Linked DNA regions of Yarrowia lipolytica. The protein of the gene in region 1 interacts with the protein of each later gene in a biochemical or structural test. Links are inferred from orthologs where the notes say so. Each region holds a gene or a part of one and is shown on either strand. Other genes may lie near its edges. The genes, in order: YALI1_F00229g and YALI1_B27015g.

Evidence for each region.
Region 2: the proteins of YALI1_F00229g (region 1) and YALI1_B27015g form a complex in vitro, tested with the Saccharomyces cerevisiae proteins (2 studies listed by BioGRID). The link is inferred for Yarrowia lipolytica from reciprocal best matches to the Saccharomyces cerevisiae genes APL5 and APL6.

The regions. Positions count from the first base shown.
Region 1 is NC_090775.1:19,268-29,917, reverse strand, and holds YALI1_F00229g (uncharacterized protein), read right to left. Parts: upstream 7,010-10,650; coding exon 6,954-7,009; intron 6,841-6,953; coding exon 4,407-6,840; downstream 1-4,406. Other genes in the region: YALI1_F00288g (uncharacterized protein), read right to left, coding at 361-671, 997-1,060; YALI1_F00286g (uncharacterized protein), read left to right, coding at 1,311-1,943; YALI1_F00261g (uncharacterized protein), read right to left, coding at 2,072-3,766; YALI1_F00207g (uncharacterized protein), read left to right, coding at 9,014-9,095, 9,152-10,245. UniProt on the Saccharomyces cerevisiae protein: Part of the AP-3 complex, an adaptor-related complex which is not clathrin-associated. The complex is associated with the Golgi region as well as more peripheral structures.
Region 2 is NC_090771.1:2,693,356-2,710,093, forward strand, and holds YALI1_B27015g (uncharacterized protein), read left to right. Parts: upstream 1-8,156; coding exon 8,157-10,508; downstream 10,509-16,738. Other genes in the region: YALI1_B26926g (uncharacterized protein), read left to right, coding at 1-1,415; YALI1_B26962g (uncharacterized protein), read right to left, coding at 1,598-2,839; YALI1_B26963g (uncharacterized protein), read left to right, coding at 3,009-4,028; YALI1_B26984g (uncharacterized protein), read right to left, coding at 4,182-5,048; YALI1_B27009g (uncharacterized protein), read right to left, coding at 6,346-7,560; YALI1_B27057g (uncharacterized protein), read right to left, coding at 10,825-12,366; YALI1_B27102g (uncharacterized protein), read right to left, coding at 13,368-16,738. UniProt on the Saccharomyces cerevisiae protein: Part of the AP-3 complex, an adaptor-related complex which is not clathrin-associated. The complex is associated with the Golgi region as well as more peripheral structures.

The DNA.
Region 1 (10,650 bases):
CTCCGCCCGCGTGCGTACCTGACCCCCACACCTATCTCGGCTATTGGGAAGTGCCTCAATGAAATATGCGCCCCATAGCATTGGACAAGCATTTCCAGTAGAATACGAGTACATAGAACCCGCCGCGCCCCCTCTCTTCAATCGCTTTCCATACTGAACTCCGCCAGTCTGATTTATCTTTAACGCCGATACGATATCTGGGCCATTCTTGTATGGAACATTCAAAATACGCTAAGCTCAATATGTCTCACTCTAACCGTTGTCTCTGTCCTAAACACGACTACGCTTCTCGCCAATGGCCAAACAGACTTATCAATCAATCAATCACTTTTAATCTTCCTTCTACGTACGTGTATCTATCTACTGTTTCTCGGGGAGAGGAGCAGCGGTTCCGTCCTTGAGAGCCTTATCTCGTCCGCCCAAGTACCAGTAGTTGACGTATCGAGCGCCCTGGCCGAGCTGAGCACACTCATTGACAAAGTGGCAGCCGAACAGCAGAGGGTTCCAGGGGGTCACGGCGGTGGCGTACTTCATGAAAACCAGAGAGTAGACAATCAGAGAGCCGGTCATGGGGCCGGAGATTTTGGTGGGGTCCTTCTTAAGATCCATCACCGCAGCCACGGGGATTCCAAAGTTGGAAACGGGTCCCCAAAAGTGGGTGGAGCAAATGTCTGTGTTAGTGTTGAACAAAAAGAGATCGACTTGGAGCAAATAGATACGCTATCTCCGTTGTAAGTCCTTGATGTGAACAAATCAACGTCCGGGGTGATTGACAAGATTGACAACATGGGGTACATTGGTTTCTTGTCGCTTGTGTATTGTTGGTCTTTCGTGTTTGTGGAGCAATACCGACACCTGGCATCTTATTGTCGCAACAGACAATCTGCAACGAATCGATCGTTAGACCAACATGGCTCAACAGTTCACTCCTGTCTGTGTGTGTCCGAAAAATGTCCACCGCTCCGCCAATCAACACAATGCTACCGGAATACTCACATTTCACAAAGTCCTTGGAGAAGATGTAGTTGGTCGTTCTGCTGATGATGCTACCGTTGGACATGGCTGTGTATGATTGTGTGTCTGTGTCTGTTTTTGGTGTTGAGGAGAGGGAAGTATTCGCGCGGAAACCTAAGAGTCAATAATTAGTGTGAGGGGCTAGCGGTTGGGGGTCGCCAAAACCTAGAGTGGAAAAACGCTGAGTCAGAGCATAGTTCAGAAATGTTGCAGCTCACATGCACCCTCAAATAATCCACATCGACTTTCAAAATTTATTTTGACAATAGGAAAACAAGACCACACAACATCGAGTCATGTCCTATTTCTACGCACCGCCTCCGCCTCCGCCACCAAGCAACAGCGGCACAGCCCCCACACCCACATTCACGTCTAAACACCGCGAGGAAGACGAAGAAGACGAGGAGTCGCTGCTAGCTAAAAAGCTGGCGGCTAATGGCCCTGTCCCTATCCAGGGAACATCAGTGCTGCTTATCACACCAGAGGACATTGAGAAATGGAGAGCAGAACGACGCCAAAACTGGCCCACGCGCAAACGGGTGCAGGAGAAGCAGGAAAAGGAACGGGAACAACAAACTAAGAAACAGAAGACAAACCCAGGCGATATGGACAAACTGCCAACCGCAAACAACAGCAACAAAGAATCTGGCCCCAAAAAATGTTCTTTCTTCATGAAAACAGGAAAATGCAGATTCGGAGACAAGTGCAGATTCTCACACGACAAATCAGGGGCCACTGCAACGGGCTCTGCAAGCTCAGGTGGAGCACCTGCACCTCCGGCAGACCACGCTTCAAAGGTCTACAGACGGTACCAGCCACCCAAAAAGATGCCGCTGTACAAGAAGCTCTTCCGGACCGACATTATGAAGGAGAACGAAACTCTACTTGCATTCATTAACCATCTCAACGAGCAGGGACTGCTGGATTAGAGAGAATGTCTTTCATAACCCACCTATTAGCATATATTATAGCATACACATAGATACACATAGCATACGTCATACATATAAATAATTCTTTACGCGTAATTACTCAGTTAGCAAATAAAACGGTGACACTAAGTGGACATGCTAGCCAGAGCAGTCACGGTGCCGATACTTCCCACAAGCATACCAGCTGCAACGGCGGTGAAGATCTGCCCAATTCGTCGGCCTTCGGTGGACTTCTTAGGCAGAGGTACATCCAGATCCTCCTCTTCCTTCACCATCTCCTCCCGGGTTCGCTTACGAACTCGAGGAATGGATGCCAGCTCCTGGAAAGCCGCTGTGGGAAGAGGCTCCGGGGCTGTGGCAGCAGGCTCGTGAATGATTGTCTCCTTGGCGGTGGGAAGGTTGGTAGAAGCGTCCTGGAAGGCTGGGCTCTCGGCGGGCTCTTGGACGGTTGACATATCGATGATGGAGGACTTCTCGATAAGGGGAGTTTGGGTTGTAGCCTCGACTGAGACGGTGGTAGATACCGGCTTGACAGAGACCTTGGTGGACTCCATATCCATGGCAACCTCGTTGGACTTTGTAACAGGTATCTTGGTTGACTCCTGACCAACGGAGACCTCGGAGGTATCTGCAGGTTTCACAATGGAGCTTTCAGCAGGAGCTTCATGTACCTTTAGCAAAGATTCAGCTCTCTCATCCTCCTCAAATAGGAAGGCTTCCTCTGAGTTATCGAACTGATTCTCAGGTGTCTGGAACGATCCTGGCTCGTGAGCTGGCAAGGTGTCGTAGCCAAAAAGGGTGTCCTGGTTGCTTCTTCTAGGTTTGAAAAAAATCTGATGGGGATTTTCATCAGGCGCACGAGCAGTGGGAGCCGATCTGAGAAGCTCAACAAGAGTGGCCGGCTCAACATCATGATCCTTGTCATCATCGGAATCATGAGAAGCCGCGAGCCAACGTTGGTTTCTGTTTTGAGAGTCGTCCTCGTCCTCTTCTTCCTCTTCATCGTCTTCATCGTCTTCTTCGTCTTCTTCGTCTTCTTCGTCTTCATCATCTTCTTCGTCTTCTTCGTCATCGTCCTCGTTGCGATCCTCTTCGTCTTCTTCGGACCAGTGGCATCGCTGAGCATCTCCAACTTGCCCTTCCCCGTTGTCACCCGACGAAACGGCACAACCAACGACTTCAATGTCGGATTGTTCGCCAGTATCTTCATCGTCGGAATCAATGTCAATAACGATGGCATCGTTGGGGGAAGAGTCCATGCTGGTGCCCTGGGAAACCTCGCTGTCGTATTTGTAAACAATGCTCGAGGAAGAAAAGGTCACAGAAGGAGTGGCAGGAGCTTTTCCAAAGGAGATGCTCTCAACCTCAAAATCAAAGGCGGTGCCGTGTGCCCTGCAGTCAGGGGACAGGGTCACTTGCGAGCCTTCCTTCAGGGGATAAAAGGTGTTGAGCTGCAACTTCTGGCCGTCCAGCTTGGTGCCGTACTTTGCCTTGCTCTCAAACAGAAACAGCTGTTTATCCGTGGCTACAAAGCTGGCGTGGTTGCGAGACACGAGGTTGAAGGCCTTGGGGACATGGATGTTTTTTTTGTGGCCTCTGGGTGACCCCAGGGTCTGCTTCTGCGCGTCGGTGAGCTCCACGTCGAATGGTTTCATAGAATCAGGCTCGAAAGAGACACAGTCCACTTCGCCGCTGCGAGTCCAGTCGTTTCGTCTGGAAAAGAGCGTGAAGGAACATCGTCCCTTGGTCTGCGAAATCGCAGAGCTGGCGGGAACGGTAGAAGGTGTGGTCTTGTCAGCTTCGCCCGTGGTGGGAGACATTGTAAGGAGACTTAAAATATGTAGAGCGTGTCGGTGTCGGTGTGGTGTGTGTTTGTTGTTGTCTGAGAGGTGAGAGAGAAGACACACTGAAGTCTAGGTGGCGAAGGCTTTATCAGGAACCCCAGAAGCTTAAATGTATAGAGTGCGGAGTATTGAGCGCTGCTGCTGTGGTTACGGGACAGATGATACAGTACAGGCTATAGTATCACCTGCAACGTATGTGTGGGGCTGCCCATTGTTGAGTGGAAATGACCAGTCAGATGCGCGGGTCTGCCGCGGCAAAATGCTACACGCGAGCGTCTCAAGTGACACAAACACGCACTCCAAACACCAGGGTCTCTCTTTTTTTTCCCCGCTGGTTTACGTTACGTCCCAATTATTTTGGGCCGGTGCTCTTCTCCTTCCTCCCAAGGTTCTCGCACTTGCACCTTCCCTTTACTGATTGTCCTAATCTTACTGACAGCATGCTTGTTCAACGCCACAGAAAACTTGATAGGAACCCTATCTAAATTAGTACACGTGATACATGCATTAGAGTTTTAGAACGAGCACAACCAGCTTGCTACGATACGATACGAGACTGTACCGCCATGCTTGAGCTACAGTACAAGTGTATGGTTAATTACAATACATCTATGATCTACTCGATGACGGCAACCCGCTTCTTGCGCTTCTTCTCCTTGACCTCGCCATCAGCCCCCTCCTTCTTGGCCTTGCTCTTGGGCTTCTTTTCCTTGTCCTTTTTGTCCCTCTTGTCCTTCTTGTCCTTCTTATCTTTCTTGTCCTTGAGCTCCTGCTTCATCTGCGCAACCTCGGGCGAGTCCTTGTCGTCCTCCAGCTCAAACTGGTCGAGCTGGTTGGGCCGAATCAAAACGTTCTTCTTGACGTTCTTGGTCACCTCCAACTTGGGCACAATCTCGCCATCAATCTGCTCGTCCTTGATGATCTTAATCTTGCGCTTCGGCTTGGTCTGAATGGGCGGAGTCTTTATCGATGTCTCGTTGATCTGCAGGTCCACCACGGGGATGGAATCGACGTCCACCTGCTCGTCCTTGAGAGGATTGGGCGTAGTGTCTCGAGAAATGTAGAACGGATCATCCTTCTGCTTCTCTAGTCGCTCCTTACGAGCATCCAGTAGACTCTCCTTCTGCACTCCACTGACCGTAGAAGCAAATTGGGGGGTAAACTCCTCCTCAACATAAACCTCCTCGTCCTCAATGTCAGAGAATTCCACTTCCAGGGTCTGCTCAAGCTCGGGAGGGAGCTCCAGATCTAAGAATGGAATTCTCTTCTGAGTGTCTGGTGCCACAGGATTCAGTTCATATGCAAAGAAAGACGGCAGCACCTCGGTAAGAAGCACAGGCACACCCTCCTCCTCCAGAGACTCGGAAATGACCTTGAAGAGCTCGGAAAACTGGGTGGCAAAGTCCTGCAGCTCGTAGTCCGGCGACGCAAGATATGACGACAAAAACTTGATCACATTGGTCACAGTCTTTTTAACATAAAGCTCGTTGGGAGATGACCAGATGATGCCCTCGCAGAACTTGCCAAACACCTTCACGATGCATACACAAACGGCCAGATCGACAGCATTGTTGCTGCTGCCACTGTTCTCTCTGACGTGCGAGTATGAGTTGAGGCAAAAGTCCAAAATGTCCTTTTGTCGATGCATGGGGTACTCGCTGAGACAGAAGAGAACGGGAGGCAGGACGCCGGGGTTCCGGAGATACACACCTCCGTCTGTGAATATTTCGTAGCAAACTCCGGTAATCTCCTCTCGCATATCGGGGACTCGCATGCACAGATCTCGGAGCGTTTCTCCGATCCGAGCAGGGTCTTCGAGAGGGAAATCGACCAGTGCGAGCTTCTTGAGCACATTCAAGAACCACTCAAAGTCGGAAATGAGTGAGTATGTGTCTCTGCAGCACATGTCCAGAATGTATGAAATGGACGCGTGGGTAAGTTGCTGGGAAAGCAGCAGGTTCACAATGGTTTCAACATTGTGTTCCGATGCAAGATCGTTGGCAAGCTCCAGTGCTCGTTCTCGGATCGTGGAATCGGCGTTTTCCTTGAGGCATTCCAGAATGACACCCTGCAGCTTTCCAACAAGAATGGGATGGACCTTGACGATCTTCCCAAGCGCTAAAAGACCCACGTACTTGAGATTCTGGTCGCCTTGGTTCACAAAAGACGACAGCTTCTCGACACAGACACCAGCCACATCGTGGTCGTCTTCTCCTAGCATGCCTCCGCTCACAATGCAGTTGATGCACTCGTACTGGAGGGAGAGTGCCGAGGTGGACTGGATCAGGGTCATGATCTGAGGCAACAGCTTAGGTTTAAGCCGAGGCTCAATGGGTGCCAACGACGAGAACAGCTTGAGGATCTTAATCATCATCCAGTTATTGGAGGACGTGGTCAGCAGCTGGTAGAGTTGTGGGGCCAGGGGCACGTAGTTCTTTGAGTGCTTCTTGGCGAGCTCACAGATCACGTTGACTGTGGCAGAAACAACTGAGGGGTCTGAATCATCGAGTCGATCTCTGAGACGAGAGAACGACGTCCGCAGTGCCTCTGGGTACTGGAGGAAGATCTTATACATTGCCAGCACTGCCTTCTTTCGGATGTAGGGTTTCGAATGGGACAGCATTTTGACAATTTCGGGGTGCACGTCCTGAGCGAGTGAAGGGGTGACAATGGTGGCGATTGCGGATAGAGACACGGACACCTCGACCGGCGAGCTTGACGTCAGATCACGTTTAAGGAGGTTGGTCGCAAGCATCAACACATCGTCGTCGTCACGGTAGGACTGGATGGCAGCGAGGTAGCCCACTCGTTTTTGTTGGAACTTTGGCGAGCTCATGACCTCCAGGACGTGGAAGGAGGCCCACGACATGTCGTAACCCAGCATCTCCAGATATGCCAGTTTGAGGATGGCGAGTGTCTTGACGGTCAGATCCTGGTTTCGGGCCTCCTGGTGGCAGTCGGACACTGCCTGTTTGAGGAACCGCTCTTTGGCGGGCAGATCTTTGGCGGCTCGAATACCCTTAATGAGATCAGTTAATGTTGATTCGAATCTGTGTTAGTGTGGCTGTGGTGTTGTGGTTGGTTAATGGCTCACTGGTGTTATGGTGAAGAGGGAACCCCATGACCTCTTCAATCACACGACTGCTGCATTCTGCATACTCACATGACTCCAAAAGGCCGCAGCCGATTTCGTACATCATCTCTGGTCGTCAACGACATGGTTGTTTCGTTTGTGTGGTGTGCGTCTACTGTCGAAGCTTACTTGTCATCCCCCGGGTGTCACGTGATCGTCGGTGTCTGTGATGAATGATGGATGGATGGTGGGCATTTAGAGTTCGGGTTGTGGTGCTCAACCACATGCAGACGCTTAGCGTGTTATCGAGAAATTTAATTCGTCCGAGCGAGATATGCGGGATTCGGACTCCGACAGACTCCGAAATTTGCCAGAGGCATGTCAGGGCCACAATTGCCTCTCTAGAGCCTCGCCAAGAGCTGTAGAAACATGTTAAAACTAACTCCGGGTTAGTTTTTTTAGTCCGAGGCTAAGCTTATGGCATTCAGGAGGCTTTTCTTTTTCTCGAGTGACCGGGACATGACTGAGGGCTGTTGGAGTTGCTACAAGTCCTCTGTAGCTGTCGTTGATGGGCCCCATCATCCAAAACGGTTCCCGTTGACGTCTTTATTACAGTTTCATCCATCTCCTGGAGCAGATGATGCATGACTGAAAGGAACAAGGCACCCCATTCGGATAAAGCAACAAGCTTGGAGCAACAGTAGGCCGTGCGGATGGACCAGCAACGGCTTCCGAAGACCAGCGAATTGATTAGGACTAGAGGTGCAGCTAGGAGCAGTTTAACCTTGGCTTCTTCGTCGTTCTGCTCGTGTGATCACACAAGTGCAAGATTTTCACTGATTATCGTCCACGGTTTAATTTATCAGATGCTAAAATTTGACTCGAGCTTGTCCCGACTTTGTTCCGACTTTTTCCCGAGCTTGTGTCTATAGTAGAATGTCTGTTGAACAAGAGTTATCGGCATGTGTTCCCTACTTGACAACAAGACCATGTCCACTTGTTGCTCCAAAGCCAAGAAAGAACTCATCACGTCACACCAGATTGGAGTTATCAGATGCGATTATCTTTTGGTTTGTAGTTTATTTCTCTACTTCCTTTCTTCGCCGCAATGCACTCTGGAGCTACTGCTCTCCAATGATGTGTCTTGTCGTCACTGCCGCCGTTCTCCAGCTAAACGTGACACACATTTCTTGCCTTGCCTTTATGCTTTCCCGAGACGCACATAGGAAATAGAGTCGAAACTTTTGTGAGCGCCGTGTTGATTGGGCGGCCATATGCGACTGCCAGGACCGGTGACCTGTATCAATAGCACCCCAGAAGAGCGCTGCTATCGAGCCCGAAAGAGCATGTTTACCAGAACCGATCGTTTAGCGTGGTTTTGGCAGCCCCAGCTCCCATTGTCAACCTAAATGTCCATGCGACCTTGCAGCGTGGATCGCAGTACGAGAAAGAAAGGACAGACCTTGCAAGAGCCCAAAGCTTGACCCCAGACACCGCGACTTGTGACGATTGTGAAATAGTTGTGTGGTGTCAAATGACTCAGCATCAACACCACCTTACTCCGTGGTTCAACACCAGACCTGAGACTCCCTTACGACACCCTTTGGACACCCTTGCGACACCATTGCGATGAACGCACGCATGTCCAGAAACAAGCCTAACAAGAGCCGCCCCTTAATAACGAACATGGTTCCCCTTATCCGCCTTTTCATGCTGACGCACCTCCGGGGATCTAGCACAGAACTCTGTGTGTAGGTGGGCTTGCCAAGTCAGCGGGGTAGTCCACGGAATGTAGTTGGAGCTACCGGGCCAGTCTGTAGTTATTGTGTGATGTGTATACACGTGCGTGAGGTCTCCCAGAGATGGTTCCCTTCATCTGTCAATATTCTCCAACGCTCAAGTTCCATAGACTTTTATGTGCATAAATTTGCGCTTCAGACACGACCTTGATACAAAGACCCCGAGCTAATTGTACGGCTATATGCTTTTGGCTATTTTGATACAGTCAACACCCAGGACACGGACACACGCACACACCTAAAAAAAAATTAAAAAAAGAGAAAGAGAGAAACACTCATAATAAGAAGGCCTCGACCAACTGAATTTTCTCCCCGACCAGTCCGTTCTCATATCACACACTATTCAACAACATGTCGCTCACGTCGCGGGAAATCCGCATGATTGCGTTGCTGATTATCGACACTTGCTTCTTCCTGCTTGAAGCCATTGTTGGTGAGTACTGACGAAACGATACAAAACCAGATCTACCATCCCCAGCTCTAACACAGGTTATGCCGTTCATTCACTCGCCCTTGTGGCCGACTCGTTCCACATGCTTAACGACGTCTTCTCGCTGATCATCGCCCTCTGGGCCGTTCGAGTAGCCAAGTCTCGAGGAGCCGACTCCAAGTACACCTACGGCTGGCAGCGAGCCGAGATTCTCGGAGCTCTGGCCAACGCCGTCTTCCTGCTGGCTCTGTGTCTGACCATTCTGCTGGAGGCCATCCAACGTCTTTTCGAGCCCCAAATCATCACCAACCCCAAGCTCATCGCCGTTGTCGGTACCGCCGGTCTGTGTTCCAACATTGTCGGACTACTGCTGTTCCACGAGCACGGCCACGCCGGACACAGCCACGGACATGACCACGATCACGATCACGACCACGCCCACGACGAGGAGGAGGCTGTCGACACTGTGCTTGCCTCTCAGTTCACCGCGCCCACCGAGCAGACCTCTCTGCTCCAGCACCCCACTTCCCACCGACGATCCATCTCCAACATTGACTCGTCCGAACATGCTACACACTTCCACGCCAAGAAGAAGAATGAGCAGAAGAAGAAGGTCTCTCTCAACATGCAGGGCGTCTTCCTGCACGTTATGGGCGATGCTCTTGGAAACATTGGTGTCATTGCCACCGCCTTCTTCATCTGGAAGACCGACTACTCATGGAAGTACTACGCTGATCCCGTCATCTCTCTCGTTATCACTGTCATCATCTTCTCCTCGGCTCTGCCTCTCTGTCGATCCACCTCTTCCATTCTGCTTCAAGCCGTTCCCCAGAACATCAACGCGGAGGACGTCAAGAACGAAATTGTGGCTCTCGACGGTGTCGAGGAGCTGCACGACCTGCACATCTGGATCCTCAAGGAAGACACCTTCGTCGCCACTCTGCATGTCGGCGTGGCCTCCGACCCTTCTGAGTTCATGACTCTGTCTAATGACATCAAGAAGATTTTCCACGAACACGGCATCAACTCAGTCACCATCCAGCCTGAGTTCAATGTTGCCACTGGTAGCACCACTCCCGACAAGCACCAGTATCACGTTTCCGTCGGAGGCCTGAGATCCGCCAACTCCAACGGCTGTCTCGCTCCCCAGTAAGATATTTAGTAATACCACCATGACAAATAGAATGTGTGCTCGCTGTAGCTACTGTAGATTGATGCTATAAGTTTACAGTCTTTGGTAACTACTTGTACTTGTAGTTCATCTCATTAGCCTTCTTATTGCTGTAGATCTTGACTATCAGCAGCAGCTACTTGTAGTTACGTGTATGATGCCTGTCAACAGACGCTTACGCAATCGCTGAGAATACTGTTACGTTTCAAGCCTTCTAGGCTGGTCCAGAAAACCCTCGTTTCTAGGGTGTTCTTCTCGTGTGTGTGAGCCTGTGTCTCTGCGCAAGCTTGCACCGGTCTGTGTTTGCCGCCTTCGTGCGTCGATAGAGGAATAGTGTGGATGAAGAAGATGAGACACTTGTACACATACGGCAGTACCTTCTACATC
Region 2 (16,738 bases), on another chromosome or scaffold:
GGGCCACCGGCCAGACCCCCACTAAGCAGGGCGGCATCTTCATCAATCCCAACGCCGGCTCTCCCAACTCTTCCACCCCCGGTTCCCCCGTGGCCTCTGTGGCCCGACAAAAGAACATCAGCTCATGGCTCGCGTCGCAGGACTCTGTCCCCGAGGGAGCCGTCCAGCTGGTTTATGCACACCCCGGCTGGATCCCTCTGGCCAACGATCGAGCCGGAAACAACATTGCTGTCGATCTGGCACCTGGCAAGAAGGGGAAATGGGGTCAGGTGATTCTGTTCGGTCGGGAGTTTGACCGAAAATACGTGGTGGCCCAGTCGTGGGCTCACTTCCTGGCCATGGTCGCCGATGACTTTGACCGGGGCAACTGGGAAGTTGACCACGACACTGAGGAGCTGTGGTTCAAGACCGACCGAGGCACATTTGTTAGCTACTTCACTGTACTCAAGACCCGAGTGGAGCGACAGTTCCGACACCAGATGCAGCGACGGGAACATGAGCGACGACAGGCCGCTGCCGCCGCTCAGCAGCAGCAGCAGCAGCAGCAACATCACGCACAGGGAGGCCTCCACTCTCCCTCACCACAGCATACACAGAGCATGCCAGCCCCTGGCCTGGGCAAGCCCCTGACCTCTAAGCCGGCCCAGGATTTGGACATCGTCGACCTCAACGAGGACACTGCCACCATTAAGGACAAGGGCAAGGCTACTATGGGCTCTGCTCTCCGAAAGACTATTGTTGACGAGAGCAAGACTGCTCACACAATTGTGGAGCCTCTTGAGGAGTCTGAGGAGATCAAGGGCAAGGGCAAGGGCAAGGAGGAGGATGTCAACGAAGCCGCCGAAAAGGCCAAGGTGGAGGCCACCGAGAAGACCAAGAAGGCTGCCAAGGAAGCTGCTGATAAGGAAGCAGAGCTCAAGAAGGCCGCCGAGAAGGCCGCTGAGGAGAAGGCCAAGGCTGAGAAGAAGGCTGCTGAGGCTCGAGAGAAGGAGGAGAAGGAGGCCAAGGCTGCCGCCAAAGCCAAGGAGGAGGAGCTCAAGAAAGAGGAGGTAGCTAAGGCTGCCGCCAAGGCTGAAGAGGAGCAGAAGGCCACCGCTGCCGCTGAGGCTGCCAAGGCTGAGGCTAAGCGAGCTGCTGAGGCCGACGCTTCCAAGAAGGTAGAGGCCGAGAAGGCTGCCGCTGAGGAGTCTAAGGAGTCTAAGGCTGAGTCTGAGGAGAGCAAGGTCGAGAGGGATCTCGAGGAGCTCAAGATTGACGAGGAAAACGGTAATGCCGAGGAGGCCGATGAGGAGGCCGATGACGATGATGAAGATGACGAGGAGGAGGGTGACAGCAAGGAGGGTGAGGAGACCAAGAGCACAACCGCCTCAAAGTCCAAGTCCAAGAAGAAGAATAAGAAGAAGGGCAAGAAATAATGTATGTATGCATAACTTTTTGATGATGCTGTAAGATATTCAGAAAATATAAAAAAAGTGTTTGTTACAGAAAGACTGGGTGTGTTTCGTGTTGAATTACCTGTGAGAACAATAAGGTGGCTCGGCCCACTGTAATGTACATACTGTTACTATAGCTACTTGTAGCAATGGTATCAGAGAAGCTAGTTTTGGAGAACATTCTGTTGACCAAAGACGAGTCGTTTCGGTTCATCTTCTTTCCTCCCTCCCCAAGTGTATCTTGCTTTATCCCAGAGGCCATTCTGTTTCTCCACTTCTCCATTATAGTATGCTTTTGCTCTGAAGAAGCCAAATGCAAAATTGGACACAAACATGGACCCCAGGAAAAGCAGTGAAATGAGCCCCAAGGCCTTGTATGAGAATCTGTCAATGAACCCCGTGATGATTTCGGCCAGTGTTTCGGCTCCGAGACGGGCTCGGTTAACGGCATGTTCGTCTCTGTTCATGCACAGTTCCCATTGGTCACAGAGAGTCTCCAGAGCTGGACGGCGGGAGTTGGCTGCACATTCGTTAAGCAGGTACAGCTTTGCACACTTGCTTTTTGCCATAAGGATCTCGCCCGAATGAGCTGAGAACTTGAAACCAACGTCCTGTCGGACCGAGGAAATAAATAAGTAGACCACGTAGGCCATGACGGCCAGCATGATGCCGTTGAACGCGAGCTGTAGATACGAGGTAATGATGTACGGCAGGTTGGGGTTTTGAATCATCCATCCAAGGGTTGGGTTGGGCAGATGAAGGTGGTATTCTGCAGACTGATCCTGCCCCGGGCTTTGAGCCTCGGAAGTGTGAAGAGTTGGTGCTGGAGTGTGTACTGCTGCCTGGGCAGATTGAGGAGAGAAGTCGCCGTGTTTAGCGTCTGGTCGAAGATCGGGATCGATATCGTCTGCCTGATCAAGGGGTTTACCTTCATTGACAGGGGAGTAGAGGACCATGCTCATATCCACGTCTTCATTCTTCTCAATCTCCTTGACAGCAAACTGGGCACCGAGTTCAGTGGGATTGAACACAGATGAGATCTTCCATGGCGAGTTGGGTGCCGCAGCAGCAACTGACACCGAGGAAGTTCTTCTCTTACCTGCCTTGATGGGTGTAGACACAGGCGGAAGGAACTCGGGGTTCATGCGCGATAGGTTGACAGATTGAAGGTCAAGAAGATCCGTGGGGTCGTCAATGTCCATTTCGTCGGGGTCTTGGGTCTCGCTAGTTCGCAGATTGGAGAACTCCGAGGTCAGATCGTCAAACGGTTGTTGTTGCTGCAAGGGTCGGTGGTATTGTAACTGACGGTTCCGGACATCCTGGTCAGATAACGTGAAGCCACTGAATCCGGTCACCAGAGGCTCGTCGTCGGGCGCTTCGTCGATACTCATTTCTGCAAATGACATGGTTGTAGTTATGTCATACAGTGTATGCCACTTGAAACTTGATGCCAGCCGTATGCAGCCCGAGATGCATGAAAACAGATATTATTTTTGTTTAGCTGTATTAAGGTTACTTGGTACACTACAAGTAGTTTAGTCCCAACACAAGCAACGTGCGTACACTTGTGTGCCCATGCTCCACGCCACACAGAACAGCTCAGATTGCCTCTTCTCCGAGCTCGACAGTGATACCGACACAGACAAACCACTGCTTCACGATACCTCACACACCGTTCGTTTCTGCGAACCCCAGACCAAGCGGCGCATGGGCTTCCGCAAGTGGTTTTCTAGGACCAGCAATGAGAAGAGGCCTCTCATAGACCGCATCACCACACCCATGGACGAGATTTTGACCGACGAACCGCCCACGACTACAGACGCTTTGACTTCTCCTCCACGTGGCAGAAAATACAGAGACCATCAGAGAGAAGAGTATGAACGAAGACAGCATTATGAGAGGACGCGAGAACGGGACAGAGACAGGGACAGAGAGGGAGATAAGTACAGTGTTCCCCGGAGACAGCTTCAGGACTCTGCTCGTTGGCATGAACATGTCAGACAACAGCAACCTCACATACATCAAGCACACCAGATACCATACCAGATACCATACCAGATGCCACCAGGGCTGAGGCAACATATGCATCCTGCGTATCTTCAGCCACGACAGATCAGCCAGACGCCAGACGCCATATCGGGATACCCCAACCAGTCGTTACTGCGACCAATGTCTCAGGTGATTGAACCGCGATACATACGGACAGAGGGATTCCCTGTACCACCAGTGAAGTACGCACAGGTCCCCCAGGGAATGAAAGCGGAGATAATGGAGCTGAAGGACGATGCTGGAAATGATAAGAATGAGGAAAAGAAGTATGCCAAGGATAAGAAGGACGACAAGAAGAAGGAAAGCGAAAGTCCGCAAATGCAGTCAAATATTGAGAAGATGGTCAAGAACGCGTTACAGAACCATCGCCCGGCAGTCTACGAGACTCTTGTTCGGATGAACTCGTTTGTCCTTTCGCTTAAGTTAGCCCTCTGTATAGCCTGTGTGGCTTTTTATCCACTGGTAGGTATTCTTCTCATTGTGGTTCTTTTTGGGTCTGAGATCTTGCTTGAACTAGCTATAAAGTGTGGTCCTGACAGGAGTTAGCTAAAAGACAGTACATACTCGTACCTGTATGTAGCTATGTAAGAGGATATATAGTGTACCATGAAATATACAGTAGCCATTTTGGAGACTATTGTCTCTGGCCTTTAATCTGTGTGTGCCTAATTCGTTTCTGCTATTTATGTTTCCATCTCATCAATTGTAAATCCTATCAGGAAGAGTTTCCATCATATTAGTCCAGGTTCGCTCATCTACCCAGGATCTGAGATTTTGCAGAATGGCATGATTATCAATAACTCTGAAAGGCTCCACATCTCCAGGATTGAGCAGCAGTCTCTGTTTTCCTCCGCCAGTGTGGGGCCAATCAGAAGCCCAAATTAGCTTGTTGGGGCTCTCCGAGGCGAAGAACTGAACCACTTCTTCTAAGTCGCTGTATCCAGGCCCCTGTTCAGACAATCTGTAGAATCCAGAGACTCGAATGAGCACATTTTTAGCAGTCAGCTTGATGAGGGACTCGAATCCAGTGTCTCCGGGGCTCTTCATCCCACCCAAATGGTCTGCAATTACCGTTACTGGTAGGTTCCCAATGACATCAAACAGACTGTCCCAGTAGTTTGGTGGAATATAGGCCTGGATGAAGTAGCCGAGAGGGCCGACAAGAGCGGCTGTCTTGACTAGGGTCTTAGAGACATATTCAACGTCCAATTGACCGGTAGACACGACATTGACTCTGACACCTCTGATACCCAGTTCCCACCACTCTTGCAGCAGCTCCACGGGTGTGTTATCAGGATCAATTACCACCACTCCTCTCAATTTGTATCCGTTTTGCCGATCGGAGTGACCTCTGAGCGTGTCAATAATAAGCGAATTGTCTGTTCCATAAGGCGAGGGCTGGACCAGTACATTGTTACCAATCATGCCTCCACACAGATATCTGGAATGGGCCTCCAGACCAGGTAGAAGTGCCTGGTCGGTAGTGTATGTTCGTCTTCCGGCAAACGGATAATTAATTGGGTCAAATAGATGAACGTGTGTATCCCACGAGTTTGGCGAAAGCATTTTGTGTACTGTTGGTATTGCTGGGTGCACGTCTGAGGAAGGTCGCCTGGCTTATATGCACCCCACACTCGTCTAGGTTCAAAGTTGATCCGGAGCTTTTAGGTCGGATCCGAGTCGGTCTATTTGTAGTGGAACAAATGCGGATGCAAACCGATTAATGGAGATCTATCCACATGCCATCAGTCGTGCGACATTCTAAATCAAGCTGCTCATCTGTTTTTGTGTGGTTACTGAGGGCATCTCGTTGATCCTTTTATTAACACAGCCTTGCCGTCGAAATCATAAATGTGGGGCATGAAGGTGTAATCTCAACACCACGAAACACCTCAACGGAGAGGAAGGTGGAGCTCAAACGCTCAAATATGCTCAAAAGAGGCGGTGGGGGAATTTGAATCAGAAATGAGACAAGTGCACTTCAGTGCTGCTCCCCAAAGCTGCAATATGAAGCTTGAGGGTACAACGCAGACAACGATATATCCACAGGCTACTGCTAAAAGCTGGCGCGTGGATATAAGAAAACTGTCAGCTGTCAAATTCATCAGAATGGATCTAGAGTAGTGAAATTGAGGCCCAACAATTTACCGACCGTGGAATAAAAAAAAAACCAATTTCAACACCCCTCGTGGACTAAATACAGCAATTTGATGTCGCTCTATACGGCACTCACCAGTGGTTACTGCCAATTAGGTTTGCGCTCGCTAAGCGGAAAAATGAACCTTGCTAGCGGAACATATTTTAACGTGATACAAGAATACAGGGGATGTAAGATGAGGTGAGACGAGGATGGTTTAGCTGAATTGTGTCTCTACTCGGTGTCAGATACACTTTCTTGCAAGTGTCTGTTTACGTAGCTTGGTCCTGATGGCCACCTTGATCATCGTGACATCTGTCTACTTGTAGTTCCACACTATCCCCACCAAGGCAACCTAGCTCTGATTAGCTACATGCATCGTTATGGCGTCATTGGGTCATGAAACAGTAATCTTGTAACGTACAGTAATACAACATCGATGGTTAAAGGTGAGATAATTGGTGAGATAAAAGGATCTCCATTTCCTGTCGTACGACTACTGTAGCCTATACACGGTTGTTGTTTTTTTCAGATCTAATCACGTTGGGCACAAAATAGAAAAGATACTTGAACAAAAGCACAGGTTGCACTGATCCCACTATTAGTTGTCATTTTACTTCAGAATAAAAGTAGCTTGGAGCTCATTAATGTTTTATTCAATTCATTCTCGAACGTCATGGCATCCATCTCCCATGCATCTATCTCCCAATACTATATACATGTCTATCACTCGTCGTCAGAATAGTCACTGAGCTCGGCGTCCTCCAGCTCAACAGCATCGTCGTTAAGAGGAAACCGCAGAATAGCAGCAATACCTCCCAGGGCGTCAATTTGACGCCCCGAGTCCTGCAGATGCGAATACATAAAGACCTTGCCTCCGTTCTGCTGCACAGCCTGAGTGGCCTCAGCGTATCTGGATCTCTTAGCGTGATCGAATCCACGCACAAAGTTGGACGACAGGAACAACACAGAAACAGCGCTCATTTCGAGAGCGTAATCCACGTGCTTTTCTCCGTACCACACTCGATCTGGGTCTGTATGGAACATGCGTTGGAACTGGTCCATTTCGTTTCCGTCAGCAGCAATGGCCAGTTTGTTGAGTGCGGATTTGTAGGAGATTGACTTGAGAGCCTCTCGAATAGCAGTCTTGCCTTCGGACGAAGTTTCCAGTGTGATAAAGCCCTGTTGCAGCTGGATGGCTGTTTTCACCTTATTATCCACAGCCCATGCCTTGAAATACTCCGAGAAGAGCTTGTTCATGTAAGGCATGGAGATGAGCAGCACGGGAATAGTCCAGTCGGCTTTGCATCTGTTTTCAATGGTTCGCAGCAGCGTTTCCTTGGCCACGTTAAAGAAGTCGTTGTATTGCTTACCTCGAGTCTTTCCGACCGAGCCCTGTCCGTCGTATTTTCGAGGAATGGCCTTGTATCCCTGAACCAGCACTCGAGTGACACTATGACGCAGCTCGTAAATGGTGAACTTGCCAGTGGAGTTGAACACCATAGCAAGAGCGCTCATTGTGTCTGCTCCCACGTACTGGTCGAGCGTCTGGAGCGCAAAGAAATCCCAGAACTCCTTAATCACGGTCACCTCATCGCCTGGTGTAAGAGCCAACGTGTGATATTTCGTTTTGAGAGACTCGTGGTGGCCAGCATCGGTAATGACGCCTGTGATTCGGATTTCCTCGCCGTCGAAAACAATCTTCTGGGCACGAACAGTGATGTAAATGAGCTTTCGAAGCACCTTCTTCTTGCCTGCATTGCCCTGGATCTGCTCGTCATCAAAGGCGCCTGTGGTTTGTGGAACTGCTCGCAGTGTCTTGGCCTCGACCAAATCGCCTCTTTGGATCACGTTGGTCAGCGCATACAGGTCGTCAGTGGAATCCAGAGCGAGCTTTTTGTACTCCAGCTTGTTTTTCAGTCCCTTGGAGATGAGACGCATGTTGGATCAGATGTAGTAATAATGTCAGTAGAGAGCAGTTGTTGAGGTAAAAATGTCCTGTCGTGTATGTCAAGTCGGTTGATATCTATTGGTAAACGTGTCGGTTTCTGCTGAGCTTTGTCGGGGTGTTTGTGGAGGCTCAGGCACTGCTTTTATAAACTTGCTGATATATGGAAAAGGCTTGATTGGGACTGTGAGAACCTAAAGTTCATGTGGGATGTCATATAGACACCGGGTGATATGAGCACCCATACACATCCTTCCACACACATACCCTCACACATTCATTTCACCTATCATCTGTTATCATATTAATATGAGTTCATTTCGCGTTCAATATGTCGATATTTCTCCCAAAATTCATTATGTACTCCGCCCATACTAATATCCCTCCTAGCGATAGCTAAGGCCTATGCTATTTTGTAAGACAGGCAAATAACCTCAAGACGTACCGTACAGCATCCACCGTTGCATCATCACAGTAATATCGACATCACACCCAGGCGACAAGAGCGACACCTAGGCTTTGGGTTTCTCAATTCTCCACGACAACAAAACTGCGACGACACAACGACCTACATAACCGCCTCGTCAACATGTCCGATCCGTTTGCGAAAATCGGAGCGGTGTTGGAGTCAGCCAAAGAGCTGACTCTTGAAGCTGCAGTATCAGCATCATCACGACTTCTGGTAGACGACGCTCCCCTGTCAGCGGAGGAAATCAAAAAGCTTCTTAATGCGCGCAGCGACCGTGACAGATTGGCGGGTATGCGCCAGGTCATTGGTTTCATGTCCAAGGGCAGAGGAGAGGAAGCTCAGCAGTTCTTTCCGGACGTGATGCGAAACACGGCGTCCCAGTCTCTTGACATGCGCAAGCTCGTGTTTGTGTATCTGATCCGTTACGCTCCCATGGAGCACGATCTGGCTCTTATGAGCGTCAACACCATTCAAAAGTCGCTCTCTGATTCGTCTCCCACTGTCAGATCTCTCGGAGTCCGAGTTCTTAGCTCCCTGAGGGTCCCGGCCATCTCAGGAATTGTTCTCTTTGCTATCAAGAAGGGTGTGACCGATGTTTCGCCATTAGTCCGAAGAGCTGTCGCAGGAGCTATCGCCAAGTGCTACGACGTGGATCCTTCCACATTCCCACAGTTGGTCGAGTTCTTGCAGCAGCTGCTGGCCGACAAGAACGTTCATGTTGTCGGGTCGGCTATCATGTCCATGCTTCTCATCTGCCCCGACCGCCTCGACCTCATCCATCCCATCTACAGGCGTCTCTGCAGAATCATCCCCCAGCTCGACACGTTCGCAGCAGCTTCCGTCATTGATCTGCTAGTAAGATACAACCGTACCAATATTGCGCCACCAAAGGGCAACAATTCTGTCGACGCGGACACAGCTCTGCTTTTGTCGGCTCTTTATCCGGCCATTGAGAACTCATTGTCGCCTGTCTTCATCATGAGTGCAGTCAGTGCAGTCTACGCTCTATGCCCTGGACAAGTCCAGCCGGTTTACCAGGAGACCATCGAGGTGGGACTCGTGAGATTGCTCAAGAATGAGACCTTGGAAGTCGCTCTGACCATGATCAAGCAAATTATTCTTCAGAGAGACCAACCCAACGCATTTTCCACCCATGTTCATCGGTTTGTGGTCTTTCCCGACGACACCGCGTCCGTGGCTCTGCTAAAAATTGCCATCATGGCTTCAATCAAGGGCCCACGACAGTTTGTGTTGTCGGAACTCAAGCATTATGCTACCTCCACCTCTTACGAGCGCGAGGTTCAAGCAGCCGCTGTCTCGGCCATTGGATCCTGCGCCTCTGGGGGAACTAACAAGGAGTCCGACTCTCTGGTCACGTGGTTGCTTCGTCAGATTCGATCTGAAGCACCCACTTTGTCCGAGTGTCTTACCTGTGTGCGTTTGTTGATTCAACAGCAGCCTCAGAAGCACGTCGCCACGGTGACTAAGCTGGCCAGAATTTATACTACGCTTGACACATCGGCTGAGACATCTCCTGCTAAGGCTTCTGTGGTTTGGCTTGTCTCCGAGTTCGTGTCTGTCGCCCCCGAAGTTGGAGAGGCTCTTCTTTACTCGGCATTAAAAAACGTTGCATATGAGGACACACCTGTTCGAGCCCAGATTATGGATCTGGCTTCCAAGGTGTACCTGTTCCGAATCAATGAGGTTGGCAAGGCAGCTGAAGGAGAACTCACTGAAGAAAAACAGATTGAGTTTTCCAGGTCGTTTGTTGGACAGTTGTATTCGCACGCTCTCTACTGTGGTCGATTTGATCCTTCATATGAGATCCGAGATAAGGTGCGACGTCTAGGAGCGTTACTCAGCAATCCTGCATCTACTGAACTGGCTACCCTAATGCTCCAGGCTCCCAAGCAGGCTCCCAAGGTGGACAGCACAAACACCGAGGGCGGTTTGGAGCTTAACACTGCTTCTGCGGTACTTGGAACACCTCTTAGTGGGTATGTTTCCCTGCCTCCTTGGGAAAAGGATCTCTCTGTTCTTCCTGATGCTCGTCTACGAGATGAACCTGAGGAGGTGGTTCACATGGACACCGAGAAGGTAGTTACAGGTATCAGTCACAAGGAACTGCCGTCAATGTCTTCCAATGGTACTAATGGTATGACTGCCACCAAGCCCAAGCTGCAGAAGCAGACACTTGATGAGTTCTTCGCTGATACTGTTGGGAGCGAAGACAGTAGCGAGGAGGAGGAATGCGACAGTGATGACGATGATGGTGAGGAGGAAGACGAGGAGGAGAAAGACGAGGAGGAAGAAGACGAGGAGGAAGAAGACGAGGGGGAAGAAGACGAAGAGGAGGAGGAAGACGAGAGCTCGGAAGAAGATTCATCTGACGACGATCAGCCTGCTTCCCAATCTCCAGTCCCCGCTTCTCAGTCCCTTCTTCATGAAGAAAACCCGTTCGCCAACAGCTAGTCTAGTTGGCAACAAAAAATATAGCATTTGTCTATAATGAATCATGATGTTTAAATACACACGCAATACACCGTATCTGCTCCACAGCTACAAGTAGTGATCTCAGACGCTACTGTAGCATTTTTATAGATAACCGGTTCCGGATGTACTGAAATTTAGTCGGTTAGGAAAGAAGTATATTCTGTCAGCGACACTTGTTTCTGTCAAAGTTGAGGGAGGGATACTGTAGACTATTAGGAACAAAGACGCGCCAAGTCTGAGGGGCTTTCACATGGCACGTAACATTAATAATCAAGTAATCAGACATACGATTTATTCACGGTAAGTTATTTGTGCTCATTTTAACGTGGACTCCGGTCAGATGGCACATGGTTAGAGCATGTAGTTTCATGGGGGGTTCTGGACTGGCGTCTGCGTTCTCCAGAGTGCCGAACAGCTGCACGATTCGAGTCAGTACATAGCTGGTCTCTGTCAATGCGTATTGTTGGCCCAGACAGATTCTGGGCCCTCCGTTGAACGGCAAGTACTCCCATCCTCGTGATATGCCCTCTCCCCATCGTTCAGGTCGGAACTCGTCTGCATCTTCGCCCCAGAACTTTTTCAGACGATGGGTCGCGAACACACTGTAGACGAGTACAGAGTTCTTTCTGATGAGAATTGGTTGGCTCTCGTCCGGTCCCCCTCCTCTAGGTAGTGTTGTGTCACGTGTTGCGTAGCGAACATTGACGGGGACTGAAGGATACAATCTGAGTGTTTCATTGATGACGAATCGTAGGTACTCGCATCTCTTTAGAGACTCAAAAGTGATGAGAGACAGGTCCGAGCCAGAACCAAAAGTGCTCAGAATTTCGTCTCTCAGCTTGTTCCAAGTTTCAGGGTGTCTGGCTAACAAGTAGATGCACCAAGACAATAGAGAAGCCGTGGTGTCTCTTCCTGCCAGAAGAATGTTTAGGGCCTGGTCACTCAGAACCTGTGGAGATTTGACCTCACGAGCCAGCTCTGTGAGAAATACATACTTGTCATCAGCCTGCTTTTCCTTCTCGCTTTCAACAAGAGCCTTCTTGACGTAATGGTCCACGAACTTGCGGACACTTTTGCTGGCCGTAAACAGCTCCTGTGGTCTCCAGAGCCAGTAAAACATTTGAAGACGCACTCTGTAACCCCCATGGTGTTGAGCGAGATTGAAATCTGATTGGAATGATTTTCGCATAGGAATGGGCATGTCAGTCACAGTAGAGTCATCTTCAGCTGGATTGTCCACCGTCTGGCAGCTCACAGACTGACCAAAGAGAAACTCTGTGGCTGTATCGAGCGTCAAGTTAAAGAAAAGCCCTTGGATGTCAAATGAATCACCCTGTGGAATTTTGCGAACCAGGTTCTGGACATGTCGTTCGATCATATCAACGTCCGAAACTTGATCCCGGGCAAACTGTGGCCGTAGCATGGCTCGGGAGTGTTGCCAACCCTGTCCATCAAGAGTGAATATGCCGTCACCCAATATGGGGGCCAATTGGTTGTGTCTGACTCCTAAACAAAAGTCTTTGAACTGTGTAGCCAGCAAGGCTTTGAGGTTCTCAGGCTCTAGTGTAACAGTCACATCATTGCCTGCCAGCACCAGACCCACGGTCAGGTTTGGTTGTCGTTTGGTGAAGAAGTTGACAAACTCGTCTAACAAGACATTGTTCTTGCCCGACTTGAAGAAGAACAAGAACTCAGGAAAAGCCATAGGAAACGATGAGACGTCTCTCACCGGTGAACATTTCCACTTTTGGGCCAGCTTATAGCTCTGGTAGCGATATCGAAGACGGGTGAAAATCAGGTAAGACACCAGAAAGGCCAGGACGTAGAGTAGAATCATTTTATTGGACCAATTACAACCCAGCTGACATCTACGACTTTTTATATACCTTCCACTACAAGTAGCCCTTTAGTGTCCCTCCACCTTTTGACACTTAAAACAGAGTTGTCCTTACTTGGATGATGGATCAATTTTAGTGTGGGGCACGTTTGTGGGGTGCATAATCGTCAAAAAAGTAAGAGGTACTTGTAGTAGAAAGACATTTGAAGGAATATTCACATGTGTTTGAGTTCCAATGAAGTTATAAAAAAAGGCGTCGTGGCATGGTGTCATACTCGTCCAATTCCAATCGCCACTATAGTGCCTCTTCGTAACGGTCGCTTGTACGTCTAGCAGACCCTAGGCTCAACCAAAGGCTACTTCGTATGTACTGCAGCTACAGTATTGTAATGTCACATCAAAGGAAAGAGGCAGCAGGAACAACGGGTTACATATCCCACGTATAGTACGATACTGTACAGTAGTAGCCCCTGTTTCGGACAGTGACACCAACGCGGTGTACAATACCGTCTTTGAATTGTGGGGTACCTCTGACTAGGCCGCATATTTGACACCTCTCAACAATGCTGTCATTTGGTGCAAATACTGATTAGTATTAATGATTACACAGGTAGCTAGCTATATTATTACTTGATTAGCCAACTACTATAGTTTGTTGCCTCCTTGTCAGGAGAAGCAGCATGAACCCACGGAACTCTGTATTCGCAAGGACAACGCGGTCAGATGACCCGATCATGGCAACAGTATATTTTCTCCCATCACTTTTGCTCCTACAAAAGAAACACAGCATCGATCTACTGTATCTGTTCCTGAGTCACTGTGATTGCATCCATGGCAGTCTCCACTGTAGCTGCCACTGATAATTACAGTAGCTAGCTATCGTACTTACGAGTACAGTATGTACATACTGTACTTGTATATGGTCAATTAAGTGATGGGGGCAACCCCTTTCTGTAATATACATTATGCTAAATGTGAACTAACAATTCACTTGTAGTCTCTTAAACCCACAAATCCAACTCGTGTCGGTAAAATTCATCATCCTCTGGCATGTCGGGGTAGTAAGGAGTCATGGCATCGACATTATCGATGTACGCAGAGTTGTATGCCTTCCAGAACGGATCCCTGACCTTCCGGGCAGCATGGAACAGACCGGCCCAAATGTAATTAAGCACCAGGCCGGGTCCCAGGCAAAGACGAATGCCCTCAATGGCGTCCAAAATACGCACGATCACGTGAGGAGACGTCTCATAGATGTTGGGAATCAGCAGATTGAGAAAATGCACCATGGCATCCTCGGCTCCGAGACCCACGCAGTTGATGGCCAGATGGCGCACAACAGTGGCTGCCGTCTGTCGATGTACGTGGTCTCTGTCTGTAAGAGCATCTTCCAGCAGGGGAGCCACAGCGTAAATGTAGTCTTTGGCCATATCTCCAATGTACTCAAACATGAAGGTCATGGCTTTAAGAACACCGTTCTGGACGTTGATCTCAGGAACACGGTACTCGTTCATCAGAGCAGGAAGCACGGTGAACGGAGAACAAGTCTCGGCCACAATACCAATCGCCACAGCTGTACAGACACGAGACTGACGTTCCTGGACTCGCAGGTTAGATAGCAGCGTGGCCAATACATCTTGGGGGCCAATCGCCTTGGCGATATATCCAAATGTGTTATTTGCTGCCTTTTGAATGGTCTTCTTGTGTGCCTTAAGGAGATCAATGAGCTCGAAACAGATTCGCATCCATTCTCGAGCGGACACATACTCGGGACCTCGGTCGGCAATTCGACCAACCAGATCGATGGTGTTCTCCTGTACCTTTTCGTGTCGGTTACGCAGAATAGGCGTCAGACGAGGCAGAAGATCTCGAATGGGGGGAGTCATTGAAGCCAGACCAACAACAGCGACAATGGCCTTGAGGGCTCCAAGCAGAGAACCCAGAGCCTCAGGATACTCTTCTCCAAGCTGCTCGTACAGGATTTGTCCCAGCTTGTTGAGGGCCTCATCTTCTCCACAGTTCTTCATAACTCCAGCAATCTGGCCAATCAAGTCGGCAGCCTGACTTCGAACAATAGGGGACTTGTTGGAGAGTCTGAACAGCACGGAAGACGTGATCTGAGAAAAGTAGGGTGCGGCTCGTGTATCAAGAGCTTGGATAACTGTTCCGAAGCCTCGTAGCATGACAATCGAGTCGGCTCGGTTGGCATTGGCAGCTGGTGATTGCAGCTGGAACGCCGTCAGAATACCGTCAACCAGACGGGTTTCCAGTTTCGAGCCGGCCTCGATATCAGCAATTCCGAGATTGGCCACAACCTTGTCAATAGTCTCCATTGTAAGTCGTCTAAAGTGGTCAGACTCGTCCTTGAGATGGTTAGCAACTCGGTCCACGATTTCAGCAGTACCGACCTTATTAGCCAGTTCCACAGTTGTAGAGAGAATAAGCTTGTAGCACACTCGATCAGAAGCCATTCGACGGGTCCAGAAGCACTTAAAGTACGTGGGAAGAACCTCGACACGAATGTATCGAGCGGTTACACCCTCAGAGCGGGCACATTGCGTGACCACTTCCAGAACCACTCGCTTCATTTCCTCGTCAGGGGAATAGAACTCTCGAAGAACGACAGCCATAACTTCCTTGGTATAATAATCGGCATAGTCGGGATTCATCAGAGGAATAATGTATCCAATCGCTTTCAGAAACGCCACAAGATGTTTACCTCGCTGCTCTCGCACCCCAAGCCAGAGAGGTTCCAATACGTTCTCAAACGACTCAATACCGTAAGGGGCGGCAGCTTCGGCAAGAGCAGCAAGAGCCTGCGCGGTCATCTGACGGACCTTAGGGTTGTCGTCAGTCAATCCGTCTCCAATACAATCCACGAGAGAGCCGAGATATGGCAGCACTGTGCATCCGATGAGAATAGCAATCTGCTGGACAATCTTTGCTCCTGTGTGACGAGCTTCCCATGACTTTTTTGACTTGCAGACGGCTTTAATGAAAGGAACTAATGCAGGAACTCCCAGAGCACTAGCAACAATGGCAAACGATCGAGCAGTGGTGTTTCGGACAAACTCGTCTGCGTGTCCGACGTTAGGTCGGAGTGTTGATATCATATGTGGGAGTCCAGCGGCCTTGGAGATGTTGGCAACCAGCTCCCGTCCCTCGACTCGTGTGAAATAGTCCTCATCGATCAGTAATGGCTCAATGACAGACAATAGTCGGGGTGTGTATGGTCTTACCAGATCACCCAGCTTGAACAGGACTCGATCAACCACCTTGACAAGCCAGTGTCGTTCTGTATCCTCCAAGGACCTTTCTCTGAAAAGGGGGATGATTTGCGAAAAAAGGGCCTCGGGACCCAGAGATCGAGCAGAATCAGTCAACTGTCTCATGGCCTGCTTTCGCATCTGAGGAGATCCGTTCTTGATTTTTAGAATCAGACGCATCACCTGGCGCTCCTTCATTTCACGAGCACTCAATAGACCCTGTTCTTCTGCATCCTGCTGTTTGATCAGCGCTCCAAAGTACTTCATATCACTTTCCTTAAAGTACGCCAAATCTCCCACTCCAGGAATAGCGTCAGCCGAAGGAACGGCTGCCTGGATCGCCAATGCTCTATCGACCGCAGTTTCTGTGCTGCCTCCTGGAATGCTGTATCCCTCAATCTTGACTGTCACCTTGCTCTTGATTAATGGCTTGTATGAAGCAGGGGGAGTAAGTACAATGTATCCTTCCGAAGGAAGCACCGAAGCAAGAAACTCGTCTGTTATTTTGCTGGTTGTAGACGTCTCGGCTTCCTTTTCGTCGGGAACGTCCCATCTCGACTTCCGCTTTCGTCCTCTCTCACCACTGTCTTCAGTGACAGGTTTATCTGATCGGCCCTTTCTGACACGAGGACCCACTCTGGGAGGAGTTTGAGCCCGTTCGAACTTCCGAAGTTCATCCTGTTCCTTCTGGGATGTTCCATTTGCCTCCTCCTTCTTTCTGATTGCCTCCTGTACTCGCTTCTCGTCTCGTTCCAGGTCTCTTAAAGCCAGTCGCTCCTTGTAGCTTAGATCCTTCTCATCGTCATCAGCCTCCTGGCGATCCAGACGTTTGCGCTTGTAATCGTTTGCACGGTTGTAAATGCTCTTGTTGGACTCGTTAGCTTGCAGCTCATCGACAGCCTGCAAAGATACAGTCTCGTTGAGGAACTCTTGTGGAGCAGTATACGAGTCCTGAGGCAGGTTTTGACGCTCATCATCGTTAAGAGCCTGCATTTCCGATACGTCTGCCATCACTGCGTCGTCATCCTCGAAGAACGGCTTTTGCCTGTCTTCTCGCAGCCGCTTAATTTCGTCCATGCTGTTGTGTGTGGGTGTGTTAGTAGTGA